Linked DNA regions of Lepisosteus oculatus. The protein of the gene in region 1 purifies or fractionates together with the protein of each later gene. This does not show direct contact. Links are inferred from orthologs where the notes say so. Each region holds a gene or a part of one and is shown on either strand. Other genes may lie near its edges.

Region 1 (7,071 bases):
GCAACAAGTTAAACAACATACAATTAAAAAAAAACATCTGTGTGAGCCAGTGGTAGGGGTAGAGTTCAGTGATCAGACAGCTTGTGGGAAGAAACAAGCTGCCGGGTTACTAGTAGTAGTAATACTAGTAGATGGCAAACAGCGCGGCACCAAAACCATCTCGACTGGCGGATTGATTAATGGTCAAGAAACTGACAGTGGCGTCCTAGCTACTGGTAGCTCGGTTTGCCATCGCTACAGACACACAAGCTGCGCTCCAGGGTCTGGAAAAATAAATTTACCATCCCAAACAAAACTGTGCAGGACCCCGGAAAGGGGGCTGTGGCACAAATCAAATGTAGAAAAAGCGTTTTGGCGAGAAAGGGGTGAACACAAGCCGGTCTATAAGCGTCACTAAATCTTTGTTGCTCATCGGCCAAGTTAGTAACTGTTGCCGCTGCAACAGCAGGGACCGGCGCCAACAGTAAAAACCGCCGCTATTATCCCGCAGTTAAAACACGATTCCCACTTCAAAAACTCCTTATACGTGCCGAAGGGTCAACGCTTTGTGTACAGGGACTCTTACTGTTGTACAGCCCCGAGTACTGTCAGCTACTAACCGTTAATTAATTTACAGCGCACTGTACTCTTCTCCCGAAGCGAAACAGTGCCACTGGCAGCCGACGATACAGTACGCCTGCACTATGAAGAGCAAACATCTATAAAAGAAAGGGAACGGCTTCTAGCAGCGAAGTGATTAAAAAAATAAATAAAATCAATAAAACTACACAGCAAAAACAGAACCACAACCACAACATACCCCCTGTTCTGTTGGGCTTCTTGTTTTTGCGATCTACCTGATCTATCAAAACACTCCGTGCTGATTTGTAATTTCATTCAACCCAAAGCGGGCACCCAGAAAAGTAGCCGAACAAAAGGTGACATTTTCTCGAAAGGCCCTTGTCCCATTCAACCCTGGGTATAGAGGGATATTTATCTTATCCAAACGGCGCTTTAAATTATTAAGCAGATGCAGCAGCTGTATTGAATACAGCCGCAGCAGCAGCAGACCAGGACAGAAGACAGATAAAAATCTTTGTGCTAGCCCGTCCCTCGTCGTGATATAACCTGTCCGCGATCTGACAGCCTTTACAACCACATCTTTGAAGCACAGACGGAACACGGAACAGCTGGGCAAGACCGGTGAAGATAAACGATTTCGTCTGGGGTTTTATTTAAAAAGAAACGCAGGACAGGGTCTCAAGAGCGCCCTGTGGGTTAATCTGACAGAGGAGGGGTTCCTTTCCACTGACCTTTTTCCTCTTGCGTTCCCATGAATGGTATGTTCCCAAAGCAAATCGTTATGTGTCCAAAACCAACAAAAACGAGAAGTGCAGATGAGGTGGTGGATCTGAAGATAACGCACAGCTCTGTAGCTCAGCTTCACGGTCTGAACCAGCCTCGGACATTTAAAACACGGGAGTCTTCCCATTGGCTGCCGAGAACAGCGCCCCGATCCCGGATATGACGTAAAGCCAACGGAAAACCAAGAAGGCGTCAAGAGCATTTTTTCATTTTTTTTCCATTTAAGTGTCCTCTTCTCGCGATCTTGTTTGTAAAAATGCCGATTTTTTTTTCAGTTTATTTCACACTGCGCATTTCTTGTTTTCGCCCGTTAAAGGTGACGCCCCCATGACGTTTGGGTTGACGTCATTTCCCGGCAAAGGAAGGCACAGCCGGTTGCTGTGCTGTGCTGTGCTGTGCTGTCCTGCTGGCGATGCCTCCGAGCTTAGAAATAGACCCTTTCACTAAAACAAACTGTTTTTTTTATATAGGTGCGGTTACAGATTCCGTCCCGTTGGTGTACTTTTTGTAAAAACGGGATGGTTGATTCCAAGTGCTGCTACCAAAATGAATTTTACGTGGCAAAACACGTAAAATAAAAAGTCCAGGAAATGACCCAACTGCACACTTCCTTGGAGACGGATTAGACAGGGCTGTTATTTACAGAGACTCACTGGACACGCTGGTGACGGAGGCTGGGTCTTACCCTGTAAATACATCGCGCAAATTGCGATTCAGACTCTCGGTGTGGTCGTGTACTTGGACTAGGCGATAGACTATTGAGAACCGGAGACTGTTTTTGTATTTCAATAAAGGAAACGGTGGTGGGTTGTATTGCCCGTGCCCGGGACAGGTGCTGTTTAACAAAATGCCTTGTTTGAGATACGACTAGGGGGAGGACACAAGTGGAAATTATTGCAACACCTGTACCTTTTCTGAAACAGATATTGAAAGAACATTTTCTTCTCCCGTCACGGTTCGACAACCTCCTGGCACTTGGTATGTTCTTGGCCAAAATAATAGCAGTATTCGTGGACTTTTGAGGAGTTCAGGTGGGTAGCTGCGTCAGCCTGCGCAGGCTGCAAAGGAACAAGTAACAGGTTTATTCCCTGCTGAACAGAGAAGAAAGAAAACACAACGTTTCGGCCGTGGAGCCTTCTTCAGGTGTGAAAAAGTATCCACGGCCGAAACGTTGAGTTTTCTTTCTTCTCTGTTCAGCAGGGAATAAACATGTTACTTGTAACTTTTAAGGATATTGTTCTTGGTGTTCCAAATCCAAATCCAAGGAAGTTCGTATAATGGTAAACGTCATTCTGATGTTAGCAAAATATTACGTGTAGAATTAAAAAAAAACTACAATGTGCTTTAACTCACCTAAGCTATACTCAAATTCACAAAAAATATTTTAAAAATAACCTTGACGAGTTGGTCTACAAAAATCTTCTGGCATATAAATTTAATGTAACCCCTAACACCACTGAACCTCGGTACTGTGGAGAATTTGTTTTTTGTTTCACTCACCTGATGTTACCGTTGTTCTATCATGTTGTGACATTTGTATGTAATAATAATAATTGCTTACACGTATATAGCGCTTTTCTTTACAGGTAATGGGGATCCCCTCCACCCCCACCTGGATGATGCTCCAGTCTGCTCCCCACACACCAGCTCTCAGTGGGGAGGAGAGCAGAGTGATGAAGCCAGTTCAGAGAGGGGGGTTATTAGGAGGCCATGACTGGTAAAGATCAGGGGGAAATTTGGCCAGGACGCTGGGGTAACACCCCTACTCCTTAAGAGAAACACCCTGGGATTTTTAATGATCACAGAGAGTCAGGACCTCGGTTTTACGTCTCATCTGAAGGACGGCGCCTGTTTACAGTACAGTGTCCCCGTCACTATACTGGGGCATTAGGACCCACATGGACTGCAGGGTGAGCGCCCCCTGCTGGCCCCACTAACACCTCTTCCTGTTTATGTATATACCCCTGGTTGTTGTATTTCCTTCCCCTTTTTGCATTTGAAAAATAATAAAAACCTTTTAAAAAAGTGTAAATTTCCTGGGCGGGGTGGGGTGTGTGGGTGGTTAGAAACGCCAACATTTGGCGCTGCTTTACACAAATAGGCGTGAGGGCGTGGAACAATCTACTCAACCACGTTGTCAAAGCCGACACCCCGGCTTCTTTCAGGAACGGGCGGATGGGGCGCCCGGATCAATTCACTGCCACCCACCAAACGGGCTTTCTGGCCTGAATGACCTCGTCTCGTTTGTGACCACGATTGCGAATGTGCCCCACGTCCCCACACACCGAGCAACAATAGTGAAAGACCCTCTAAAGGCGGTTAACACGACGCACCGACGCACTCCTGTCGTATTTTTTTGTTTTGTTTTTGGACTCAGACCAACTACTAAAGTGACGACGACGATTAACTTCTAATAACAAAGAACGCGTTTAAAATAACCAAACAACCCCCCCCCCCAAAAAAAAAAGATCCTAAGCCACCTACGTTATATAGCATTTTATGGAGCAAAACAGAAAATTGGTCATTGTAGTTGCCACTTCCACAGTACTTTTGTTTGTGTAATGCAACAGAAACGCTTGCTCTCCAACCCCATCCAGCTCGGCCGCCATTGCGCGCAACAGAGCAGCGTGAGGTCATAGTACCGGCTGCAGGCGGAGGGATACGCCATGTGTGCTGCGGTCTCGCGAGGCTCCGTTTCCTGTTGCTATATAAACCGGCTTCTGTGCGCGAGGAACCGGCATTTTCAGCGTTACCACTGCCGGCAACTGAGAGGAAGGATCCCGCCTAGGAAGTCGAAAATTTAAGAAATTAGCCAGTTAAACGCTGCTGTAACGCAAGAATATATATATCTATTTTTTAAATCCCAAGCTTTCTTTTTCCCGCATCATGCCTGGTTTTTCTGACAGAGACCGTGGGAGAGATAGAGGGTAAGTCGGGGGGTACGAATGTAAAATGGCTGACACGAGTTTGATTTGAAATAAAACGTGATGTATGTTTTGGGTTTGTGTATTTTGCGCCGATTATTCTGCTTGTGAGTTAGTGTGGCTAGTAGTCGGGGTTTTTTTTTTTTAGAAATAATAGGTCGTTTTTCCCGGGGAACGACGATCGACTAATCTGTGTGCGTGTGTGTCTGAAACGTCTCGTTAGTTTAAAACTGTTAGTGTTGTAGTTTGACTGTGAACGAGTGACGTGGATTTCGGGGCTTGGGTCCGAAATGCGGGTGTGGGAGGAAAAAAAACATTCCTCCATTTTTTTCCCCCCTCCCCGGTGTGCTCGCCATGTGACGACGGGTTCAAAGATGTGGAGACAAAATGCCGGCCGGCCGGCGTCTTTGTTCCTCTGCTGGTCAGAAGCAAAATGGCAGCGGCTTAAAATGTGACGCAGAAACAAATCTTAAAAAGGGGGGCAGGCGTGGGTGCGATTCGCACAGGGACGTCGCGGAGCCGAATCTTTTCAGTGCAGGTTGCCGGAATCTCATCTTTAATCTTTTAAAGACGAATCCCCCACCCCCATGGCACTGTAATGATGGCGCTTACGTGGCCCCGTTGTTTTACCCAAGCGAGACGCATTTCTCGCCGCCATCTCGGAGAGAGCTTCTGCCGTTTTCGTTGTGTTTTTTTTTTTACATAAAAACGTCTTTCCGTCTGTTGAGCTTCCCGTTTTGCCGTCGTTTCAGTTTTGGCGGCGCGCCGCGGTTCGGGGGCAGCCGAGGCGGGGCCCCCCCGGGAAAGAAGTTCGGGAACCCCGGCGAGCGGCTGCGGAAGAAGCACTGGAACCTGGACGAGCTGCCCAAGTTCGAGAAGAACTTCTACAAGGAGCACGCCGACGTGACCCGCAGGACCGCGGTGAGTCGCCCGCACGGGTGCGGCAGCCTCCAGGGGTTGCGATGCGGGTCCTGAGACCGTTGCTGTTTTATCTCTTGATACCCCCCCCCCGGTTAAAAATGATTTAGGACTTGGTGATGAAGCAGTTAGGGATTCCTTGAAGGGAGAAAGTAGGTGTGAAGACTCACCTGCAGGTTCAGTCTCCGTTATCCCCCCCGGGGTGTTTCGCTCCTGTAACTGTCCAGCTGGAAGACTTGCGTAAATGAGAACGTGCCGGACGAGGGCCGCTGGACTGGGCGGCTGTGTGACGCTGTAGCTCTGGAGGGTGGTCAGTTTTTTTTTTCCTCAATGGGCTTATTTTCTTACTGCAGCAAGAAGTGGAGCAGTACAGGAGGAGCAAGGAAGTCACCGTGAAGTGCAGGGATTGTCCAAACCCCATAATGAAGTTCCATGAAGCAAGCTTCCCATGTAAGTCTGAGCCAGGATGCAAACGGAGCACGCTTCCTGTTTTTGTGCTTCAAAGGTTTAAGTGCACTTGAAGGTGCTTTGAAGTCCTCGTTCAAGTCTAAATCGGTCTTCCTTTTCCAGCCTATGTAATGGACGTGATCACCAAACAGAATTTTACCGAACCTACCCCCATTCAAGCACAAGGCTGGCCGGTGGCGTTGAGTGGGAAGGATATGGTTGGGATTGCACAGACTGGATCTGGGAAAACGCTCTCGGTAAGGTCAATCGTGACGCCTTATAGGAAGGGTTTTAACTGATGTCAAGTCTAGGTGTGGAAGGTGGTGGCAGAATCCTAGGAATGTGCTTCTCGTGTTGGAGATTATGGTAATCCTGTAAAGGTTGGTCACTTGCTCACTGCCCCCATTTGGAACACCGTGCAGCCCATTGTCGATCTGACTCCTGCCCATCCACATGAGTCAATATAATGTAGTCTTTTTCTTTGATTGTAATAGTCCTTAAGTTAACTGAATTCAATTAACTTAACATGTTTATTAAATGCCATGTTCCATAATGTTCAAATTCTTTTGTTGCAGTATTTGTTGCCAGCAATTGTACACATCAACCACCAACCATTCCTTGAACATGGAGATGGTCCCATTGTAAGTGTTTCAGTTTACACAGCGATTTTTTTTTTTTAAAGTGTTAATGTTTCGCCAACCTAAATAAATTCCATCCTATATTCTAATATATTCTAACCCCCTTCTTACAGTGCCTGGTACTGGCTCCAACCAGAGAGCTGGCTCAGCAAGTCCAGCAGGTTGCTGCTGAATACGGTAGAGCCTCCAGACTGAAGTCCACGTGCATCTATGGGGGCGCCCCTAAAGGACCTCAGATCCGTGACTTGGAGAGAGGTATGTCCATACTTGTCTTGCTCGGGTCCGTTGCTGTGGTTTTCACCCTTCTGGGAGCAGATAAAGAGCTCTTCTCCACCTCTTGTAGGCGTCGAGATCTGCATTGCCACACCTGGAAGGCTCATCGACTTCCTGGAAGTCGGAAAGACGAATCTCCGCCGATGCACTTACCTGGTACTTGACGAGGCCGACAGAATGCTTGACATGGGCTTTGAGCCGCAGATCAGGAAGATCGTAGATCAGATCAGGGTAGGTCTTCCCACTCCCGAAGCTTCAAGGTCTTGCTGGGTTAATGCTGGAGACAAATTGACTTTTTATTTCCCCCCTTCCAGCCGGACAGGCAAACCCTGATGTGGAGCGCTACCTGGCCGAAGGAGGTTCGGCAACTGGCGGAGGACTTTCTGAAGGAGTATGTCCAGATCAATGTGGGGGCACTGCAGCTGAGTGCCAACCACAACATCCTGCAGATTGTGGATGTGTGCAATGATGGGGAGAAGGATGACAAGTGAGTTCCAGAGCTGTTGTTCCTGTTTGAGTTGGGTTGG
Region 2 (6,961 bases), on another chromosome or scaffold:
ATCTATTCCGTTCAGTGTTTAGCTTTAAGGTTTAAACAATTCCACCAGTCGTTAACGTTTGAAGGCCTAAAGCACTCTGGTAACCTAAGTGCAGATCAGGGGTGTCAAACTCCATCCCTGAAGGAACTCTATATTCCAATCCAAGGAGTCAATTAAACAATTAACCTAATTATTTTCTTAGTTTGACAGAAACAGGCTGTTTCTTAACCTTTTTCACGGTTCATTACTTAAGTCATTACAGGTTCAATTACCTGTAGAACATCTTAGGTTTTCCAGTTACACAGATGTTAAATAATTGTCAGGTAGGTTACTGAGAGCTCAGGTGGACCAGACACCAGACATGGTGGGAAAAGGACTGAATTGAGTCCCTTGCTCTACAGACGCCAAAGTGTTGTTTTGTCAGATAAACAAAGTGTTGGATGAATAACATGTTTATGCGTTTACGTGGGAAGTGTCCACGTGAATACAGAAAAATCACAGAACATTTAAAACAACAAGTCACCTGTGTCGTGTGGTCCACGTGTTTCTACTGATTGCTTCACTTCAGATGATATTTCACCCAACACGTGCGTCCTGTTTTCAGTTCCATAACAACACGATAAAAGAAAAAGTTCCAATTAACAATCAATTATGACCGCATGTAACACACTGGATTTGGAAGCGCTAGAAAAAGCCCTCTGAAACTACATAAGTAGGACAAATGTTAGCCATGAGAGATACGGCAGTGGATATCTGGAGGCTTACCCAGACACTTCCAGGTGTTCTGCTCATTAAATCGTGTTGTAACATTGCGCTTTAAATTTGTCAATAAAAACAGATTTCGGAACTCGTGGTTCCTGTGTATTCTGCTCTTCTGGAGACACCCACTGCCTCCCTGGGCTCATCCGGGGCGTGCATAGCGCCGAGGACCCACTGCTCGCCTCATGACGTGCCATCCACGGAGGAGCGCATGTTTATGGGACGCCCTGTCGTTTCCAGAAACCTCCGCCATCCCACGAGTCTCGCCGGACCCGCAAAGCTTCAAAGTGCGTCGCTCGGCTGGAATCCTAGGTCCCGTGTTTTGGTGTCTTCCTATCTAATCGCAGTATAGTTAAAATGGCTGAAACGTTGAAGGGGGGGTCCCAGTTACCTGATCCCATCACAGCCCGTGAGAGGTGGGATGCTGACCTCCATGTCCCTGCACACTCCTGCTCCACGCCTCCCCAATCTGGCCTACCCGGCGCTCCTTCTTAATTTCACCTGGTGAAGCTCTGTCTCACCGCGGCACGCAGCCTGCCGTGTAGTGAGTGGGCCTGCTGCCCGTTATTAGCTGGGCTCTGCGTGGTGGGTCCACTCCCATATCTTTTCATTTGGGGATTAAAGGGGCTATATGAATACCAGGAATTATAATTAACAATAACCGTATACCTTTTTGTTATGAATATTGTTTGTGCAAGCATGCTCAAACACGATGTGCATGCTCCAAATGCAGCTCATGGACAGCAAATGATTACATTCTTGTGTGCAGAAAACAAAAGACCACTTACCATAATCATTTCTGATTACGTGCACAGAGAGAGACTGTATTTTAAACCTGTGTACTGGGCTATAAATATATATTCAGAAGCAATGCAGACCATTGTATATTAATGTAACCAGAATGCAGGTTTAAGAAATGACAGTTGTAACTTATACATCAGCACCACAAGACGATAACTACAGTCCTCAGAGGACAAGCGGTAGAAAAATATTATGACAAAATAATCACCATTTCTTGTTATTACAAAGCGATTTGTGCAAGTCACCACTGTCATGCTGAAGAACTGAACATCTTCCCCAAGCAGACTGTGCGAAGAGCTTTACTTCTGTGCTTAAATCGCAGAAATAAGGGAGAGTAGTAAAAACAGTTATGAAAATAACAAAAGCTACTGTATTTTTTTTACTCATGAAGAAATTTACTTCTTCAAACTCGGAATCGTAAAACCACTGGATAACAAAATATAAAGCAGTAATTCACTGCCAACTGAAGATAAGTACAATTTATGTACATCAGACTAATGCTATATATTTATTGAGTAAATTTAGTAAAAAATAATTATTTTTTTACGAATCCCTAACAGTTTGTGTTGACTGTGAGCTTGTTCGTTTTTTTAAACAACATTTATGATTCCATTAATTTAACCAATCTACGTGGTCATACACATATCTTCACGGCGGACAGAGCGACGTCTCCCAGTGTCAACCCACACCGGAGGCAACTCGGACACAATCCAAGGCGCTCCTCTCAGCAGCCGTGCGAGGGACTGCGCTCCCACTCGGCACAGCCGAAGACACGGGCCGTCCCCAACAAAACAAAACAAAACAAAACAAAAAGGCGTGTTTTCACAAGACTCGCACCTGCCTGGGTTCTAGGAACACCTTGTAATGCTTTACCGGAAAAAAATGACGATGCACCACAGTGTGAGTGTGGGAGCCGACGGAGGGAAAAAAGAAAAAGGTGAAAACAGGTTGTATGTTGTGCAAAGCGACGTCACTCGCCGCCGGTGTGAAGATGCCTGTTATACCACACGCACCCACAATAATGAGAGAGTCGCGTATTCGGTGAGGTGGCAGCAGCCTATAGACTGTCTTATAAGAACAGGGTGTGAGGAGTGGACAGGGGGACACTACACCCCCAATAAGACTCCAGACCACCGCAGGGCTCCAGACTTCGCTCGCGTTCGGTGTGGGTGCCCCTTCCGCCGAGAATGGCATCGATTCCGCTGTGAGACCATTGCGTCACCGACGCGTCACCAGCGTGTGCGGGTTCGAAACCAAGAGAAGAGTGACGTCAGCCCTGCCCCACGGGCGACCGGGTGTCGCGCGTCCCCCCGGCGAGACGCGGCCGTGATTCCCCATCCCCAACACAGCTGACTGGCGCACTGTATCGCCTCATGATGTTACACTGTGTTTTAAAACTGTATCCTGCATGCGATTGTGTTAGAGGACCGTCGGGGCTGGCGGGTTCAGTGACTGTATCTCATCGCCCGTCCTGCCGGGCAACACTGAAGAAACAGCTCTGATCGGGTCGCTCTCGGCTGCTTTCACACTTTCCACCTCGGTGCGAGGTGACATTGTGACACAGCTGACTTGTTTTTTTAAAAACAGTGCTCTTCAAACGGAAAGCCGCATAAATGAAACCACGGATTTCCACTGCTACGTCTCGTAAAACGAATGAAAGGGCTTTAAGTTGCGCTAGCTGGGGTGTTTTTTGTTGTTGCTGTAGTTGGCGATCCGCTGCCCTGTTCCTGGGGCGCCTGTGCCGTCCGATGGTTTCCTGTCGACCACGACACGCACGCTGGGGGTCGGACCGGGGGCCGGCAAGGACACCCCGTAAAAAAACACAACCCCCTACCAGCGCATCGCCGTGACCCCCCCATGCTTTATTTATTTAAAAAAAAAAACTGGAAACAAAATGAGATCTGAAGTGTTCTCTTGTTTTCCACGGGTGCACCCGTGGGTCGGGTCTGCTCGGTCACTGGAGGACAAAGGTCCCCGGAGTGCACACCGAGGCGGGTCTCCCCTCGCCCTGCGGTTCGGCTGGGAACCCTCCGTGACCCACACCTCACTCACCCTCACCCACTCCCACACCCACTCGCATTCCAGCCTCATGAATAGGTACCTCGCCGCCACCGCACCTCCCGTATCCCTGCGCACTCTCTAACCCCTCACCCCCCTCCTCCCGCCGCGAGGGCACAGTGAAACAGAACAAAAAACAACAACGGCGAAACCCAACACAACACGAACGACCCGAAGCGCGCAGACGTTAAAGCCGCGACAGGACAGCGGGTCGGGCCCGTTTTGTGTTGTTCGGCTTGTGTTGTTGTGGTTGGCGTTGCTCTTTTTTTTTTTCCAAGGGGGGGGGCCGGGAGGCGGAGCGCGGATGGAGGGCTCTACTTTCCGCGGCAGGATACAGCGGCCCCGGGAGGCGTTATAAGAGCCCGTCTCCGCCGGCCGCCATTTTGAGTCTCTCTGTCCGCTTCCTGTGGCGGAGCTGCTGTTGGGCTGCGGCGGTGGACGAGCGCCTTTTCGGCTTCGATTTCTTCGCTTTCCCTACCCCTCCGTCCTCGCCGAAGGTGGTTTATTGCTGCTTCTCCTCGCCCTTTCCAGCGCCTCGCACGACGAGCCGAGCCGGGCCGGTCCGCGCCGGGGACGGAGAGAGGCGGTGTGCCGCGGTAGGTGAGCCCCGGGCCGGCCGGCAGGCAGGCAGGCTGGGCGCCCGGCGGGGTGGCCCGGCTCTCTCTCTCGGGCTGTCTCTCCCCACTCGGGACCTGCAGTGGGCTGCGTGTGCGTGTCGGGGGTCCGGGGCTGTCGGGCTGCTCTCTCCCGGTGCCACCGCCGGGAGAGTTGGAGTCCGGACGGGCCGTGAGGTGTGGTGATCGTGGGTCCCGTGTGTGTGTGTGCATGTGGACGGGGAGGAGGAGTGGGGGGGTGCGTGGGGCTTGGAAATCTCGAGTTTATCCCACCCTCGAGGAACTGCTCGAGCTCGCGTGGGGTGGTGGTGGGGTTGCGCTCGCGTGCGGTTCATCGTGTTTTTTTTTTCTTTCCTCCTCCACCCCCCCCGGTTTGCGTGGCTCGGTAGCGAGTTGTTGTTTTTGCTTGATGGGGGGGGAGGCGGGCAGGCAGGAGGGCGTGAAGCTGCGGGCGTGGTGGCGCCTGAACTTCGTGCGCCGTGTTGTTGTTGCTGGTGGGAGTGGGGCGCTGAGAGGCTGAATGACCCCCCCGCCCCCGGGGGGCTGCTGGCCTGCCGGTCCCCTCGCCCCGCCGGCCGGACAGAGGCCGGAGCGGAAGGCGGGGAGGAGCCTGAGTGAAACCCGAGAGCCCGCACTGCGCGCCGGGCTGCGGGGCCGTGGGGCCCGTGGGGGTGGGGAGCCCCCCCCTCCCCACGCACGAAGACTGTAGCCGCGCTCCGGGAAATGCCCAGCGCTTTAACTTTGGGGTGGCGTTTTGTTTGAACGGGAAGGGAAGTTGGGTGGTCGACCCCTCCCCCCCCCCCCCGGGTGGGTGAGTGTGGAGCACAGAGCCGCGGTCGTGACCCGGACTCCCGTGGCTGCTTCCTGCTCGTTAGCCGTGAGAGTGGGCTGGGGGCACCTCTGTATTTGTCCAGCTGCGAGTAAGGTCCTGCGGGGGGTTCAACTGCCCCTGCTCTGAGTAAGGTCCTGCGGGGGGTTCAACTGCCCCGGCTCTGAGTAAGGTCCTGCGGGGGGTTCAACTGCCCCGGCTCTGAGTAAGGTCCTGCGGGGGGTTCAACTGCCCCGGCTCTGAGTAAGGTCCTGCGGGGGGGTTCAACTGCCCCGGCTCTGAGTAAGGTCCTGCGGGGGGTTCAACTGCCCCGGCTCTGAGTAAGGTCCTGCGGGGGGTTCAACTGCCCCGGCTCTGAGTAAGGTCCTGCGGGGGGTTCAACTGCCCCGGCTCTGAGTAAGGTCCTGCGGGGGGTTCAACTGCCCCGGCTCTGAGTAAGGTCCTGTGGGGGGTTCAACTGCCCCGGCTCTGAGTAAGGTCCTGCGGGGGGTTCAACTGCCCCGGCTCTGAGTAAGGTCCTGCGGGGGGGTTCAACTGCCCCGGCTCTGAGTAAGGTCCTGGAGGGGGGAACTGCAGATCAACAGGTGACTTCGGGGGAGCGCTTACAGCCCCGAGCCCCAGAGCAGTCAGGTGGAGCCGAGGTTCTGGTTCAGCCTGAGCCCTGGCTGTGTGGCTCTGTTGCGCGGAGGGCTGGGCTGTGTGCCGCTCAGGCTGGCTTGCGAGGAGCTGGAGCGAGGCAGTGCAGAGGCAGGCGAAGCTGGAGGCTTCGGGGTCGTGTTTCACTGCTCGGCGGTTTTGGGGGGAGGTGTGCTAGCAGCCTGCCTTTCCTTTGAAGATTTCTGCACCAAATGAGTTCCATATGTGTGAGGGAGGTGCAGGCGGCTGTCTGGAAGCTGGGGGCCGAGAGCCCAACAGCAGATCTTTTATTTCTTCACCACGAGCCCTTTCAGCTGCAGCGCGGAGAAGTGCCGAAGTGAGCAGAGCTCAGGCATTCCTCTCGGCCTGTGGAAAAAATGCGGTTGCGCTGGCCTGTGGGGAGGAGGGTGGGGTGGGATTTCATAGTGGACTGGTGGCACTGGTGTGCTTCAGGTTAGGCAGTGGCAGACTCAGGGGGTTGTGGGACTGAAACTTGGCGTGAGATGTTTGGTCATGTGTGCCCTACATAATACATACTCTGCTGCATAGGTGGGGTTGTGGCACGCTTACTTGTGAGCGCTTGGTGGTTTCTTTGTTTGCGTTATCTGAAAGGTCTATGCTAAACCTTGATTGAGATCAGTTAGGTGATTTGCTCTGGGTGGAAAATGCCAGAAATGGTATGTTCTCCATGGTGGAGGTTAAAGGGCTCAAAATGAGACAGAGACCTATCGGACTTGATGTTTTAAGACACCCCCAACACAGTCAGGTTTTTTACATTTATACACAATAAGATCTGTGTTGACTAACCTAGATTTGCCCCGACTGTTTTATGATTAATCTTGGCAAAACTAATCTCTCAAACATGTCCACAACCTGGAATGCTACAGCTACGAACAACAGCGCTTTAAAGGTGTTTTACTGTTGATCAAGTTGGGAACAGTCAGGATTTTCATAGAGAACTAATCAACTGTTTCTTCTTCCTGAGTACTGCAACTAAGTGTTATTGGTTGTAGGCTGTTTATTTTTTGTTAGCGGTAATTGGTGGGGGGTGGGGGTGTCTGTACAAGAGGTGTGGTGTAGGTAAATAAAGATTTCCTGCCTCCTGGTTCAAGAATGACTTGTGAATTAAGGGTTATTACCCCGATCCTCAATATGCTTGTGTGTAGAAGTGAATCAAATCTTTGTTTATAATCTTTATAACTGGATTTGATTAAAATAAAAGCAGATTAGAATAGTTTAGAAGTTTTTGGACATAGTCACATAAAACGTAGTTTTCCCTTTTGCT
Region 3 (7,989 bases), on another chromosome or scaffold:
ACACAGGCTGCGCAGACTGACTGACACACACTCTACACAGGCTGCGCAGACTGACTGACACACACACACACTCTACACAGGCTGCGCAGACTGACTGACACACTCGGTGCAGACCTGCGGACAGTCACTGGGTGACACACACTCTCTCCCTCTCCTCTCTCAGGACGGGGAGATGGTCCTGCTGGACGGGGGGTGTGAGTATTTTGGCTATGTCAGCGACGTCACCCGCACCTGGCCGGTGAACGGCAGGTAAGGGCCGTCTCGTGAGAAATGAATTAACGTGCCGGTGGGGGGGTGCACCTTGAGCACTTGGGGGTGCCTCTTCATTATTCAGGCCGAAACAGAAGGTCCCCAGGAGAGGGTGGGGGGGCGTCTTCGCAGGCAGGCAGACTGACAGCTCTGACCCCCCCTGCGCAGAGCAGGCCATGAGACGATATGTCCGGGCGCCGATCTCCAAGGGTTGATCTCCGTGCCCGTCTGTGCAAGTCGACCCAGCCCGGGGCAGCAAGCTGGGAGTGTCCGGCGCCCCCTGCTGGCCAGCTGCGCGCGCTGCTCAGGCTGCCTGTCCCTCTGCAGGTTCTCCCCGCCCCAGGCGGAGCTGTACCAGGCCGTGCTGGACATCCAGGGGGCCTGCCTGACCCTGTGCTCCCCGGGCGTCAGTCTGGACAGCATCTACAGCCACATGCTGCGCCTGCTGGGCGCCAGGCTGAAGGACCTGGGTATCGTCAGCTCCAGGGCCGGCGACGCCGACACGCACCGGGTAACTACAGCGCCCCCCGCTGGCCGGCCGCGGTACTTCAGTGGGGATTGTCACGCCGACACGCTTGCGCGGTTAAGCGTCGGCTCCTTTCTGGACACTGCGTCAGAGTGCACCGTCGCCGTAACACACAGCGGGTGACTACAGCGCCCCCCGCTGGACCGTGGCATATTGACTGCTCCCCCATCCGTCGTCGGGAGTCTCACTCGATCCCCCCCTGTCTCTTGAGCCCTGAGAAGACTTTGATTGAGAAGTCTTTTTCGGACCCTATAGAGATATTGCCGGCATCAGGCAGTTTCTCTCCGTGTCCGATGCCCAGTGCCTGATTGGTGCATTTATACTGGAACATGAGGCCGATTTCCACAGCTCTCCCCTGTGTGGGCTCCCCAGCACCCTCCTCTGTCAGCTGCACCTCCACTTCTTCCTCACTCCAGGCCTGGCCAGCGCCTCCCCCCGCCCCCCGCACTGGGGTCGTCAAAGCCCGGCAGGCGCGACAAGGTCCTGTCCCTGACCCCTGGGGCTCTGAGTCGCTTGTCTGAACTGCTCCTGTAGGCTCCGGGCAGCGGAGGCTGGCCCTCTCCTCGCTGCGCCCAGGCCTAGCGGTGGCCGAGCCCGGTCAGTCGCTGCTCCAGCGGGACGGACAGCCCTCCCCCCCGACCCCACGAGAGACAGTCTCTGCCTCTCTTCAGATCTCCACTCGAAACTCCCCTTTCTAGCAGGGCCCTCGTCGGCTTGCCCTGCGTGTTCCGGTGTCGTTTTTTTTTCCCCGTTTACTTTTAATCGTGCTTTTTGTTTAATCTGGTCTTCAACACCACGTACAGCGTCCTTGTGTCTAGAGATGATTATTTACTTTGTCAGCTTTTTAGCGCGATGCACAAGACGGCTAGCAAACCAGGGGAGTCTGGGCAGCCAGTCTGGCCCCTATGCCAGCTGGACAGGCAGCCAGACGCAGGCCCCTGGACAACACTTACTGCTGTGTCTTATTTCTGCTCCCCTGATGTTCGGATGTTCACTGTGGCAGCTACCGATGTGTCGAGTTTCTGTTTTGCTGCTCGGAGGAGGTGTGTTGCGGGCAGCTGTTTCTGTGCCAGCGCCCAGCTCGGGACAGCGGGTTTGTAGTCCTCTCCTCCGCTGGGGGAGACGGCCCGTGTCCCACTGCCTCTCTGACACGGCGGCGTGCTCTCTCTCTCTTCTGCCCCCTGCAGGCAGCCAGGCGCTACTGCCCTCACCACGTGGGGCACTACCTGGGCATGGACGTCCACGACACGCCTGACCTGTCCCGGGCACAACCGCTCCGCCCTGGCATGGCCATCACCATCGAACTGGGTACGAGACTCAGTGCAGTGTTAATGTGCTGGAGTGTCCAGTCAGTGTGTCTGTGTGAACCCCTCTCTCTCTCAGTGCAGTGTTCATGTACTGGAGTGTCCAGTCAGTGTGTCTGTATGAACCCCTCTCTCTCTCAGTGCAGTGTTCATGTACTGGAGTGTCCAGTCAGTGTGTCTGTATGAACCCCTCTCTCTCTCAGTGCAGTGTTCATGTACTGGAGTGTCCAGTCAGTGTGTCTGTATGAACCCCTCTCTCTCTCTCTCAGTGCAGTGTTCATGTACTGGAGTGTCCAGTCAGTGTGTCTGTATGAACCCCCCTCTCTCTCTCAGTGCAGTGTTCATGTACTGGAGTGTCCAGTCAGTGTGTCTGTATGAACCCCTCTCTCTCTCAGTGCAGTGTTCATGTACTGGAGTGTCCAGTCAGTGTGTCTGTATGAACCCCTCTCTCTCTCAGTGCAGTGTTCATGTACTGGAGTGTCCAGTCAGTGTGTCTGTATGAACCCCTCTCTCTCTCTCAGTCTCAGTCTCCTTTCTGTCTCCCCCAGGTCTGTACATCCCAGAGGATGACAGCAGCTGTCCGGAGCGATTCCGAGGGATGGGCGTGAGGATCGAGGATGACGTGCTCATCAGGGAGGAGGAGGAGGGTCCCCTGGTCCTGTCCGCCAACACCCCCAAAACCATGGAGGAGATCGAGAGGGCCTGCCGACAGTGACCGGGACTAACGGGGCAGGGGGGGGGTGGATGGGGTGAAGGAGAGCAGCTGGTAGAGGAACACAGACTTTTTAAACGCGCCCCGCTTCGGCCCCGCGCGGTATGCTCCCCTGGGTCAAGTCGTGGACGGTGGACACGGCGCCGCACGGATCTTCCGTTTCAGAGACGATCGGGTCAGTGGCGCTGACCGCCTCAGGACCCGGCAGCCCCACCCCGTTGATTACACGGGCCCGGGGGGGTGGGGGACCCGGTTGGAAAGAGGGGGTGCAGGTTTCTTCGGGGCCCGAACCGAAGCGAAACGGTTCTTTCGCGAAAGCTTCGACGGCGCCCCCCCCGCGGGACCCTCGCTCACGCGCTGCCCGAGGGGCTGTTCCGCGCCCCGCTCCTGGGCGGGGAGGGAGGGCAGAGGGCAGCCGAGCCGGGAGTTCTGCGGCGCCGGTCCAGGCGGGGCTCCGGGCTGGTACCCGGGAGGTGGTGGGTTCGAATCCCAGGGGTTCTGACGTCAGGGTGTTCCTCGGATCCCGGGGGGGGACCCGTGAGGACTGAGGCTCACCGCTCTGTGTTACCGGTTCGGCTGCGCCGGTCCGAGAGGCCGGGACTCTTGTGATCCGGCTTCTCCTGGTCTCCCTGTCTCCGGGTCTGTGTGCCTGTCCCTGAATAATAAAGTGTGGGATGCTCGGAGCTCTGCGTTCTGGGGTGCGGGCTGCGAGGGCTGTGTCTGTGTTTAGAAACGATCTTTCAAAGACCTTGATATTGGGTTCCAATACCCAGCTAATACAGAGATACCGTACTGTAAAAAGGCACTGTTCTTCGGGGGATGTGTAAAATCAAGGTGCTGACTCCGATCATTAAAAATCCCGGGGTGTATTGGAAAAGAGTAGGGGTGTCACCCCAGTGTCCTGGCCAAATCTCCCCCTGGCCTTTACCAGTCATGGCCTCCTAATAACCCCCCCTCTCTGAACTGGCTCCATCACTCTGCTCTCCTCCCCACTGGGAGCTGGTGTGTGGGGAGCAGACTGGAGCATCATCCAGGTGGGGCTGCACATTGGTGGTGGTGGAGGGGATCCCCATGACCTGTCCAGCGCTGTGAGTGGGGTGTCCAGAAGGGTGCTGTAGAAGTGTGAGGAATCATTCTCTCACAGGACAGCTGACCTTGTCCACTGGGCTTGGCTCACCGGACTGACGCCCCCTCAACCCTGCCCAGGCGGGGCTATGTGGGTCCCCTCCCTTCTCCCCTGATAGAACCCCCTACCCCCCCCTCTTTTTATAGTTCCTGTCTCCCCAGATTCTCCAGGTACCGCACCAGTACATTACAGGGACTTTACTGAACCCTGAACACTCACACACAGAGACATGGAGTGATTCTGTCATGCTCCCTGCCTTCACAGCAGCAGTTGAACTGAGTGTTCAACAGCTGTCGGTCCCACACTCGTCTGTCCACTGCTGAGCGATGTGTCCCCTCCTCAAATGAACTTTTTCTAAGTGCATCGCGCCTGTACCAACTGCAGGTGGGATGGTGAGACAGTGAGGTGCAGATCTCCCCAGAGTTTGGACCCAAGGAAGGCTGCAGGAGGGGGTAACTGGTGTTGGGGAGGGGGTTATTATTTTGGGAGAATAAGCAGACAGAGCTCCCAGCTGGCGTGAGCCTGGCCAGTACCTGGAGGGGAGACCTTAGGATGAGACGTAAAACCGAGGTCCTGACTCTCTGTGGTCGTTAGAAATCCCACATTGTTTCTCGACAAGATTAGGGGTGTAACCCCGGTGTCCTGGCCAAATCTCCCCCTGGCCTTTACCCATCATGGCCTCCTAATAACTCCCCTCTCTTGAACTGGCTCCATCACTCTGCTCTCCTCCCCACTGGGAGCTGGTGTGTGGGGAGCGGACTGGAGCATCATCCAGGTGGGGGATGGAGGGTGGTGGTGGTGGAGGGGATCCCCCACGACCTGTACAGCGTACAGCGTGAGTGGAGTGTCCAGAAAAGCGCTGCATAAGTGTAAGCAATTATGATGATGACGGTGATCTTCGAGCGCCCCCTGGCGTCGGTCACCCGCTAGCGCCGTTCCGGAAAAGAGCGAGTCCGGGGGGTTTCCGGAAATTCCCGAACACAACCCCCCCGCCTCCTCCTCCTCTTTTTCGAATACATCGCCGCTCTGCTCTCTAGCTTACCCTCCCCCCCCCTCCGCTCCCGTGTCGGAGGAGTAGAAACAACAAGCCGCCATTTTGTTTGCGCGGAGAGACCGAGCGCGGCTGGAGAGACCCGAGAGAGGGAGCGACCACAGCGCCGAGCACAGCGACCCGGAGAGCGGCCGCCCGACCAGCCCGGAGCCGACACAGCGGCAGCGTGGACCCGGAGAAGACGGCGAGAGACGGGGGGCACAGCGCGGAAACGGAGAGTCGGGGACGAGGACAAGGAAGAGGAGCGAGAGAGAGAGAGAGGAGAGAGAAAAAAAGAAGAAGGGAGAGAAAATCCGCTTTTAAGACGTCCAAGGAAGGAAAGAAGGGGGGATTTTTTTTTCTCTTTTCACGCGGAGCGGAGGACAAGCGGAAGCTGGGGAGCATTTTCTGCGTTTTAGAAACGGAGGGACGCTGAAAAGGCGACGGGAGGGAAAAAAAAATTCTTTTGGAAGTGGGGGGGGGGGTTGGTGGCGGCGGCGGTGGTGGAGAAATACAAGCGCATCGCGTCCGGAGACGAAGAATTATTATTAAAAATAATATTCATCCTCCTCCTCCTCCTCCTCCACCGAGCGAGCGGGGGGAGACATACGAGCAGACGTACACACGGAGGGAGAGAGAGAGAGAGGAGACGAGGAAATATCGGCGAAACGGGAACCCCAACCGTTAGAGAGCGGAGAGAAGACGAAGGATTGCTTTTTTTTTTTAAGAAAAAAGGGGGGGAGCAGACGGATATAATCGACCCCGCAGGCAGGCGGCGAGAGACGGGGGTTTGAGGGTCACCACACAAAAGACTCCGGGGGGGGGACGTGCGCTTTCCTTTCTGCTGGCGTGGAGGGGAGACTCCCGGGTTTCTTTAAATGCCCCCAGCCCCGCCGCTCGCTCAGTTCACCCCCTGAATCATAGCAGCGACACCCCCATCTCCCATCCGCCCGGTCCGGACTCCAGCACGCCGGGGGGGGGCACCGACTCCTCGCCATCGCCGGGACCCAGCACATCGCGCCGTTGGAGAGGACCGACGAGAGGCGACCTGTCCCGTTTGCACCACGCCGGCCATCCCTCCCTCCTCCTCCTCCTCCTCCTCCTGTGCGGCCGGAGACCCCCCACCCCGGTGCCGGTGTCTGCCGGGCGGGTTGAATCCGGTGGCGGCCGTCCTGCGCGCAGTTTGTGCGTGTTTTTGGGCTCCGGGACAAGCGTGGCCACCCCGCACCGGCAGGAGCGGCACGGCGGCTCCTTCTTCCACAGTTGTGTTGGGAACCAAGGAAGAACAGTGGATTGAAAATCCGTTTTGAGCCCTGGCGTGGCCCAGACGCCGTGAGATAACAAGGGATACCTGTGCATCTGCGTCCGTCATAACCAAGACTCTCCCCGGCGTCAACCTGCGCTTTCTTGTAAGGTGGCATTCAAAAAAACCTAATAATAATCATCATAATAATCATATCTGAACCCCGTTTTGTTTTTTGTTTTTTAATTCCAACATATTACACAGAGAGAGGGCGCAAGATCGCGAAGTGATCGATACTGTGACAACTAGTTTTTTTTTCCACCCCTGAAAGACTGCTGACCGTCACAATGCGAGAAACAAAGTCACATTAGCCCGCCGCTGACATCACTAGAGTGAAACCAAACACTTATTTTTTTTGTAATAAGTGGGTTTTTTTTGTTGTTGTTGTTGTTGTGGTAATTAATAAAAGAGAGGGGCGCCCTGACCAAGTTGCAGTTTTTGAAACCGGGCATGCCAAACCTTTCCTCTCTGGTCATGTGCTAGCGTAGCGGCCCGGTGTTGTGAACTTCCGTTGCAGATCGATCCCCCCCAAAAAAAAGCTGCAAGAAATACAAACGGGTTTTTTTTTTTACTTTAAAAAAATAAAAAACATTGCCAAAGTTGACCCCCCACCACCACCACCACCACCCAAAGTTTCAGCCCTTGCAGCTCAATCAAGCGCTTTGATTGAGTTTGGCAATCGATAGAGGCGATCATCCTCACCGGCCAGGTCTCCCAAACATTTTTAAAAGAAGCCCTCATTCCCGCTTTGAAAAAAAACACGGCGTGAAGCGCGGCTCCACGAAAAAACAACAACTTTTTCATATCGATCACAGATATCGGGAGGCGCCTCGGAAGGTATCGCATCCCACTCGCGCCGATACGACACGCCGGGGAGACGATTAAGTCGTTCGCCCGGTTTGTCGTACCCTCACAGAAATCGACTTTATTTAATTTTTTTTAATCAATTTCTAACACCCGCCGGCAGATGTGCGTGTGATCATGCGCATTGATCGGAAGTTGCTCCCGTTTCTCTGAGCCGGTCTCAGCTGTTCGTGTGAGGTGAGGGGGGTGTTAGAGAGAGTTGGGGGGTACAGGCGGGTCCGAGGGGAGGGAGGTGGGGTGTGACCGACCTGGGCGCCCGTAGGGCCAGCCCGTCCCGAACCGAGCCCGAACCCGGCGTGCGCCCTTTTACGAAGAAAGAAAATATATATATTTTTTTTTAAAAAACCCAACACAAGTATTACCTTTCCAGGACGGGGGGGTGGGGATGGCGTCGGGGGTTTTGTATTGTGAAGAATAATTACCTCCTGGCCCTCGTTCGGGTGCGACTTTTTTTTAACCTCGTCTCTCTCTTTCTCTCTCCCCTCCTTCTTCATTTAATTTTTTTCCACCCTCCCCAAACCCACCTACCCACCACCACCAACAACAACAAAAAGGGAAATAATTCAGATTATCTCTCGCCTTGGCCTCCGGAGATGGTAGAAAACGCAGACGGAGCCCTGGAGGACCCTGCCCGGGACATCTTGATCTGCGCCGAGGAAGCTACATGAGTTAATCCGGAGGGCCTTTCTCTCTCCCAGCGACTCGGAGACTTTCTCTTCCTCCTCCCCTCCTCCTCCTCCCGTCACTACTACTACAACTACTACTGCTGCAGCAGCTAGGAGCCGAAATCTGTGAAGGAGCAACACCACAACACAACCCAAAAAACGCCCGGAGGAGGAGGGGAGGGGAAGTTTTGAACGCCAAATCCGAAAAAG
Region 4 (7,917 bases), on another chromosome or scaffold:
TGCACTAATCATTGCATGTAACGCAGTCAATGTAGTCCAGCACCCTCATTGATATTTTTAGCTGAATTATTGTGTTAATATATGATTTTGCAGGACATTATGTTCTTTCCTCTTAAAAAGTTGTGTGGTTTTCCACCATATCTGTTTTTTCGGCAGTAATCTGGGTGGTGCAGAGAGCACCATGAGGATAGCTATGCATAAGGTTAGCTGTCGATGAATGACATTACACCTGGTGTTTTGAAGTTACATTGTGCGGTAATTGGAAAATGAAAAAATGCAAATTAAATGTGTTACAGCAGGATTAATAACTCTTCTCATACTGGATTTTATCTCAAGCTATCCATGGCAATTCACAAAGGTTCTCTATTATGGGCCTCCTGTTGATAAATATTAATCATCTAGAAATTTCAGGATGGCAGGCACTGACACAAGTTCATAATTGCATGTATGATGTTAGTGACAAGAATGTTTCAGGTTTGCCTTCCCCAAAGATCAAAATCTATTAATCAGCAGTTTATGTGTCAGGAAATATCTAAAAACCTTCTATTACTGTCATTTAAAAGATTGCTTGGATTGCTTAAATTGCACAAATTGCATAATTTCTTAAGAGTTTGATTATTGGTTTTCTTGTTGAAATTGTGGATGGGCCCATAAGAAGTTTACCTAGTTTTTTTATAAATCATTTTATACACATGTATATTATAACTTTATATTATAAAAATCACAGGAAAAAAATAACAAAGTAAAGTTTTAATGACACCTGACACTTCCATTACTGCTGAATAATTTATGTTTGTGTGACCTAAATTTAAGTTGGCTCATTTTTTTTTCTGTCCTGGAGTTTGAAAACGTTGTAAAAACAATGAACTGATACTATTTTTACTCAAAAGAAAAATGTGTGCTGCCACTTTTTTGTCATTATGACAAAGGCTAAATTGGGCAGTTAGTGACACGGTGGTTAACGTTGTTCTTCGCAGTGTTGGGTTCAATTCCAGAGCTGAGGTGCTGTCGGCATGGAGTTTGTATGTAATTCCCTGAATTTGCATGGGTTTTCACTGCTCACTTCAGTTTCTTCCCACAATCCGAAGACATACCCTATCTAAACGAACTGGTGTGGTGTGTCTGTGTTTGTGTCTGTCTGCACTGTAATGGACTGGCATGTCATCCAGGTTTGCTTCCTGGGATAGGCTCTGACACCCCAGTGACCTTCAATTGGATCAAATGGATGGATGTCTTCATGTAAAATCCAGATTTTGCAGGAAAAATAAAATATGCAAGAAACTTAAATTCAATCAATTTAATATAATGTGATTTCCTAGAAACTGCTAAACTGCATATGCAATAAGCATGTTGCTCTTTTAGGAATATAAATTTATAGGTTTTAATAGCAAATACCATTGAAAAAGAACTCTCCCCATATTATACTGTGTTCATGCAGGTATTCAAAGACTTCAACCTTTTGTGGTCCCTTTTCCATATCTGTGCTTTTCAAAGACTTAACCTGTGACTTGATTTGAAAGTGCTTTAGTTTTCATGGTTGAGTCTTTGCCTGAAATTCACTACGTGGCCAAATGCACGTTTTCTGAAACCATTAATTACTGTAGGTGGCTCGCGCAGGTACAGTAATACTGTGCATGTAAATTCATTTCCATTTGCACAGGAAAGGGTTTGAATCTTATGCTATCATCACCTTTCCATTTTTCATTCATATTAATTATAAAGTTACTTATTTGTTTTTGCTTAGAATGTGTGGAGTAGGTCGTGTATATAACAAATATTAATTGTTACTTTTAGGCTTTAAAGCAACAAAATCTGAAAACTGTGCCAAGCACTGTATGCTGATGTGTAATCCAATTAGATTAGTGTTTGTGCAGAAATTAGAAAGCAAAATATAACAAGTATTGGTTAGCTCTTTGCTGAAAAGTATAAAGCAAATATTTTCTTAGTTTCTTTCTTTTGAATGGAATCAATCTCTCTTTCTTCCTTTGTAGTTTGCATGGTACAGAATTAATTTAATTTTCATGATGTTTCTGCTTCTTATAGACACAGTAATATTTCTATAGAGAACTGAATTTCCCATCCAAGAATGTAGTTATATCCAGACTGGTTAATGATATACCAGTATATGCATGAAACTTGTCATATTAAGATTAACAAGATGACACAAAATGATAAGATTAACAAGTTGGTAAAAAGCAGTTGAACGTCAAATAGGGAACAATGAAGGTTATGTTTTTTGGTTTGCATGTCTTATACTAAATTGGATACAGTTCAAGGATAACATTCTATTCCTTTCTATTTTTTGCTACTTACTAAAGTACAAATGTAGGGAAGGTTGTAATGTTTCACTGAAAATTCACAGGAAAAATGTCAACAAAGTAATTGTATGTTTTTCTGAAGGTCTCTTTTTCTTTGAATTATGTCAGCTTCCATCACAGAAAGAAGCAGAATAATTTACTGTATATTCTGGTATCGCATGGCCTGATGTAAATCTAACTTAAAAATAAGAGACCCATGGGTGCCAAGTTATAATTAGTCAATGATATTCTGAAGTTTACATTGATATTTTAGTCCTGCTACGTATTGGGCTTAGTATTTAGTCATAGGACAAAGTATCTTACTGAGGCAGTTACCCAGAGGGACAGGGAAAAATTTTATTAAAGTGTTTTTACTGAAAAGAGGAAAAATGAGTCTAATGACTATCACACAGCGCAGATAAAGTGCAGCCTCCAACTACAAACTGATGTCTAGAAAACCATTATACAGTACAATACGTAATGACTCTGTGTTCCCATATACAGAACCTGCAGCTCTCACAGAAATTGAAAAGTATTATTTTTCCAGCTTTCCTTCATGCTTTAAAAGATGTTTAATCAGTAAAGCAGTTCTGTATTTTTCATTATGACATAAATGATCACAATGAAGGTTAGCTGTATGTTGAGATTAATACACAAAGTCCTAGAGGCAGGTTCAATAATTTAACCCTAACTATATTTCTTATGAGCCCCTTTGTTGGATCATGTGCTTTTTGAGAAAGCTATCCTGCACCATTTGAAATGAGTTTCTCAGCATTTATATTCCATTCAGGCACACTAGGCTCATAGCTCCTCTCTACACCAGGACTGATATTTCAGAATGAAGGTTTCTCATTTTTATTTCACTGTGGGAATCAATAATGGATTAGTGAATTAATAGACCTAATGCAACGACTTTTGTTATCTGGTGCACCATACCAGGGCATCCGTGTGGAGGTCTCAGATTAACAGGAAACATGCACGGGCCTACAGGCTTAAAGTATGAAGAGTCATTGATCGATTCCATTTTCTCAGGGAAAGAAAAAGAACTAAAGCTTTTGAACAACTGGCAGCCAATCAGTACCCATTTTAATAGTAAAGCAAAACCTACTGAAGCTCCTTCCAGGGAGCCCTGACTGACTTTTCCATTCCCTGTCTAGAGTCTGACAAGTTCTATAGAGAACTGTGAAACTACATGAACAGACAGCTCTGGAATCAAGAGGTATCCCTGGTAAGGGGAGACATTTAGAAACTTGGTATCATTTATCCAAGGAATACTCAAGTTTGAAGCACTTGCATTTGTACAGTACTAGGTACTCATACACAGTATTTTATAGATTATGTCAGGAAACCTGAACCCTAACCCTGGAAAGCCCCAGTCCTGTATTTTTAAAAAATTCTCTAAAGCATTTTTGGCATAGACCAGACATATTAAGCAATGAAATGAGTAATTTGTGAAGCTGAGGGAACACCTGTCCTTGAGGACTGAAAATGTAAGTTCCTACTGATCTATAAATTATTTCACGTAACAAAGAAGTAATTACAGTTGATCACAAGTCATTGTGCCAAGCTTTTAGACATCAGTGATTGAAGGGTTTCCTATAAAACCCCAATCAATTGAACAGAAGAACATGTGAAAGGTTATAGCAAGAGGAGGCTGTCTGGTCCGTCTAGCCTGTTAGGTTGTTGGTAACTAATTGCTCCAGAGGTCTCATCCAAAAGTTTCTTGCAAGAAACCAGAGTATCAGCTTCAACAACATGGTTTGGTAGCCTGTTCCAGACTCCAAAGGAATGATTTCTGTTTTAGGTTTTGAAGGCACTTCACCACAGTTTCATCTTGTGTCATCTGATCCGTTTTACTATTCCTTTCGAAGAAACCATCTGTGTTGATTTTAGCTATAAATCAAAAGATAAATACCATAAGATTATAGGCAAATCGCTTCACTCTCACTGATTGGTTTCCGATTCCCAGATGATTTCACTACTAAATACAATGAGAACAGTAAAAAAAAAAAGATATCAGAATTCAGATCGGATGCGCTGTGTTAACTTGGCTTTGCACTTTCACACATCTTTATTACTGCACTGCTAAGTAACAAAGGCCTGACCCTTGAATATTGCTCTCATCATTTTAACAACAGCTATCCCAGTTGTATTAGAATCATCAAACACTTTTTATAACATTTTTATAGAAGACACTTAAATTGCCATTCAAGAAGCTAACTCTTTACATTTTACTTTTTTTTTTGGTACAGACGGATACTTTATTTCTGTTAGTACAGTACTTCAAAAACATGACCGGTATAGATCACATTTATTCATATATTGGATATAGTGCTTTGTCCTGCTGACGACGGCATAACTGGTATCTAAAATTATTTCTGTTCGTGTTAGTAGCCTCACACAACCCTGGATCAGAAGTGGCTTCACCATCTACAAATGATCAGCGAGATACCAATAAATAATATATTGTTTTACTTCAATGATTGACGCACTAAGGCCCGTCGGTGTTACAGAGTGTGTTGATGGACAGCTGGAATATTTCCGTCTTCTTTATTCAGTCCGATGCTCGGCGCTGGATATAAGACACCCCCACCACCACACGGCCCACCTCTTTCTCGTCAGTGTACCGCCCCGCTCCCCGTCTTTCCTTATCTCTCCGCCGAAAATATAACCAGCTTCCGTCGACCCGACATCACCTTTCGATCAGAGAGTAATCATGGCATATACCCTCCAAGGCGGTTTAAAGAAGAAAGTCTGCTACTATTATGACGGTACGAGACCCTGCAGTCCTGTTCCTGCTTTGCAGTTATTATTTATACAATAGACGACGGGGGTGACGCTCACAATGAGAGAGGGGCCGAGTGAAGACGAGAGGGACAAGAGACGGGTGGCCGGGTTTAGTGTGTCTAAATGTAACGCAAAATGTAAAATCGTGTCTCGCAGCTGATATTTCTTTTTACATCGACTGTAACCGCATAATTGAAAGTTACAACGCGTTTGAAACTGATTTTACGTTGAACCCCCGAGAGTCGATGCGAACATTTCGCGTACCTCAGCCGTAATAATACACAGAAACATCACGCACGATGGCCACTGCGCAGCAGTTGTGCGTTTATAATTTCTGTTTTAAAAGTTGTTGTTTGTTTTTTTGGAGGGGGGGGGGTTAGGTTAGCGAGGTGTCCCGACTGCAGTGCTGAATCAAATTAAATACTCAGAAGTTGTTCATTGCCGCCAAGGCCTAGTGGCGACGGGAACAAAACAAAACCATACACTGCGCATGTCCGCCTTCATCCAAAACAAAACCGTCTCCTTCCGTCGTCAGAGCCATTAGCGCTGTTTTCTTTACAGATTTAGTAGGTATCGCCCGTTTTCTTTATAGACGCCACGGAAAATGTAGCTATCGCTACTCACCAGCACCAAAACGGTTACACTATCCCGCGTATATTTGCTTTCTTTAATACCTGCCTACGTGTGATTAAACTGCAAGCGGATTGTGCTTCTCTAAAGTACGTTGACGCCAGGACATGTGGCCTCCTCGCGTTATGGAAATGAGCCCGACGCAAAAAAACAACAACAACAAAACAATCTTCATCGTTTAATTTGTAATTATTGCGTCTCTTAAGTGAAGATTTGTTTGCCAAAATGTAAATGTGGACTTAAGTCCACAGCAGGAAAAGGTGTCCCTTAACATCTTAGAAATAAATGGCACTGAATGGTTTATTAATAAAAGAGTTTTGTATTTCTTTCAATACGAAGAATTTGAATAAGTCATGCCCAGTTTTGTCTGTTAACCTTTACTTTTTATTATTCAGGTGACATTGGAAACTATTATTATGGACAGGGGCATCCCATGAAACCTCACAGAATTCGCATGACCCACAACTTGCTTTTAAACTATGGGCTTTACAGGAAAATGGAAATCTATGTAAGTCTTGAAGTGTAATGACAGATTACACTTCCGCTGAACATGTGTCTGTTGCATTGCTGTCTTTAAGTGTTTGCCAAGCATCGCTTCACAAGTCAGCATTATTGCCATTTCACTTATCTACAGTGTGCATTTTATTCAATTTGCATGTTGTTGTACCTGTTGTTTCCTTCCTACTTACAGGTCATTTAAACTTTGTATTACAATGAAAATTCACCTTAGAACAGGGCACCTGCTAAACAGAGAAATACCTCTATGATTAGTTATCATGCAGACACTAAAGCAGAGGACTGATGTACTTTAGCCACGGAAGCAGTATGTGAAAATGCTCTTATTCCGCTCAGTGTGTAGGTTCATAGTGTAATATATCTGGACTCTTTTTTCTTAGGATAGCAAAATTCTTTATGAAAGTAAGCAATAGAATAAATAAATAAGGGAGCATTAGTACTATTTGATCAGTTGTAAATACATTATAATGTAGATTTAAATATTGGCATTTTAATATATTTATTATATACATAGTTATATTGTTCCTGTATGTATGATACTAAAATGCCATTGGGATATTTATTTCTTGTTTCTGTCTTGTGTTTAACTCTGTTGATTGGATTATGTTCATTTTTGTGTCTGCAGAGACCTCATAAGGCCACAGCTGAAGAAATGACAAAGTACCACAGTGATGATTACATCAAGTTCCTCAGATCAATCAGAACAGAAAACATGTCTGAATTCAGCAAACAAATGCAAAGATGTGAGCATTGCAACTTTTCAGACAGTTTGAGATCTTGTCTAATCAAACACTTCACTGTAGATTAATTGCAAAACTTATGTAAGAATCTGTTAAATCTGTTTTACAGATGTTGTTTTTTTCTAGCGCCTGACTAGGAATACAATACTAATTAAAAAAGACCTTACTGAGTTAATTACTTATTTTTGGTTAGCTTACCATTTTTGTCTTTATATCACAAATCATACCTAATTTATAATTATAAAGTAATTATGTAAAGCAGCTAAACCATATAGAATATAGATTTTTAAATACATCACTGGCTGTCATTTTACCTGGACATATCACGTTTATGGTATCATTAACGTGAAGAAAACGACAGTTGAAACAACTGTTTCTCCTGTCTGGTTCTCTGGTTGATTGTTTTTGATAGATATTTAGCAGATAGTATTTCTGTAGATTCATCTGTTAAATTGGTTTTGCTGTCCAATAACGGAGAATGTTCAGGGACGATAATATAAAGAAAGAAGGCATCCAGCTCAGTTATTAACCAAATAATTGTTTTTAAACAAGATCTTGCTGCTTCAAGTATTGGTGAGGCTGCAAGACTTGTTTTGCTAGATGCTATTAATATTCTCAGAATTAAAAATAATCAGTGGTTTACAAAATGTACTGTACAGTACATTGGTTGTAGTTAAGATGTAAAAATAAAAAATGGAAATTGGGGACTATTATACTATTAATTGCAATACTGTTTATATATTATAACCTGAGTGACTGATATGACCACATGTGCGTGGACGTCCATTTGTCTTTGACGAACACGTCTGAAATGTTAGTAGATGTTTATCATTCTGGGTATTCAGAGTTATCTGTACTATTTATAGGATGACAGTGTGAGCTATTAAGGCATGATCTGTTTAACTATTAACCTCCCGAAATGTATGCGTCGCATTCTTTTATAGTCA

What was found.
Region 2: the proteins of ddx5 (region 1) and ctnnb1 purify together in Homo sapiens (affinity purification with mass spectrometry; 3 studies listed by BioGRID, with this or other methods). This does not show direct contact. The link is inferred for Lepisosteus oculatus from reciprocal best matches to the Homo sapiens genes DDX5 and CTNNB1.
Region 3: the proteins of ddx5 (region 1) and ep300a purify together in Homo sapiens (affinity purification with western blotting; 5 studies listed by BioGRID and IntAct, with this or other methods). This does not show direct contact. The link is inferred for Lepisosteus oculatus from reciprocal best matches to the Homo sapiens genes DDX5 and EP300.
Region 4: the proteins of ddx5 (region 1) and histone deacetylase 2 purify together in Homo sapiens (affinity purification with western blotting; 3 studies listed by BioGRID, with this or other methods). This does not show direct contact. The link is inferred for Lepisosteus oculatus from reciprocal best matches to the Homo sapiens genes DDX5 and HDAC2.

Annotation. Positions count from the first base shown.
Region 1 is NC_090704.1:45,522,347-45,529,417, reverse strand, and holds the start of ddx5 (probable ATP-dependent RNA helicase DDX5), read left to right. Parts: upstream 1-4,070; 5' UTR 4,071-4,230; coding exon 4,231-4,271; intron 4,272-5,020; coding exon 5,021-5,189; intron 5,190-5,539; coding exon 5,540-5,636; intron 5,637-5,756; coding exon 5,757-5,890; intron 5,891-6,208; coding exon 6,209-6,274; intron 6,275-6,384; coding exon 6,385-6,526; intron 6,527-6,614; coding exon 6,615-6,775; intron 6,776-6,858; coding exon 6,859-7,031; intron 7,032-7,071. Other genes in the region: centrosomal protein of 95 kDa, read right to left, coding at 1,293-1,314. UniProt on the Homo sapiens protein: Involved in the alternative regulation of pre-mRNA splicing; its RNA helicase activity is necessary for increasing tau exon 10 inclusion and occurs in a RBM4-dependent manner. Binds to the tau pre-mRNA in the stem-loop region downstream of exon 10.
Region 2 is NC_090705.1:42,391,093-42,398,053, forward strand, and holds the start of ctnnb1 (catenin beta-1), read left to right. Parts: upstream 1-3,959; 5' UTR 3,960-4,094; exon of another isoform or gene 4,095-4,197; intron 4,198-6,961. UniProt on the Homo sapiens protein: Key downstream component of the canonical Wnt signaling pathway.
Region 3 is NC_090707.1:38,059,150-38,067,138, reverse strand, and holds the start of ep300a (histone acetyltransferase p300), read left to right. Parts: upstream 1-4,982; 5' UTR 4,983-6,356; intron 6,357-7,668; 5' UTR 7,669-7,989. Other genes in the region: xpnpep3 (xaa-Pro aminopeptidase 3), read left to right, coding at 164-249, 577-760, 1,963-2,083, 2,628-2,794. UniProt on the Homo sapiens protein: Functions as a histone acetyltransferase and regulates transcription via chromatin remodeling. Acetylates all four core histones in nucleosomes. Histone acetylation gives an epigenetic tag for transcriptional activation.
Region 4 is NC_090697.1:5,943,683-5,951,599, reverse strand, and holds the start of histone deacetylase 2, read left to right. Parts: upstream 1-4,905; 5' UTR 4,906-5,013; coding exon 5,014-5,068; intron 5,069-6,109; coding exon 6,110-6,222; intron 6,223-6,855; coding exon 6,856-6,973; intron 6,974-7,914; coding exon 7,915-7,917. UniProt on the Homo sapiens protein: Histone deacetylase that catalyzes the deacetylation of lysine residues on the N-terminal part of the core histones (H2A, H2B, H3 and H4).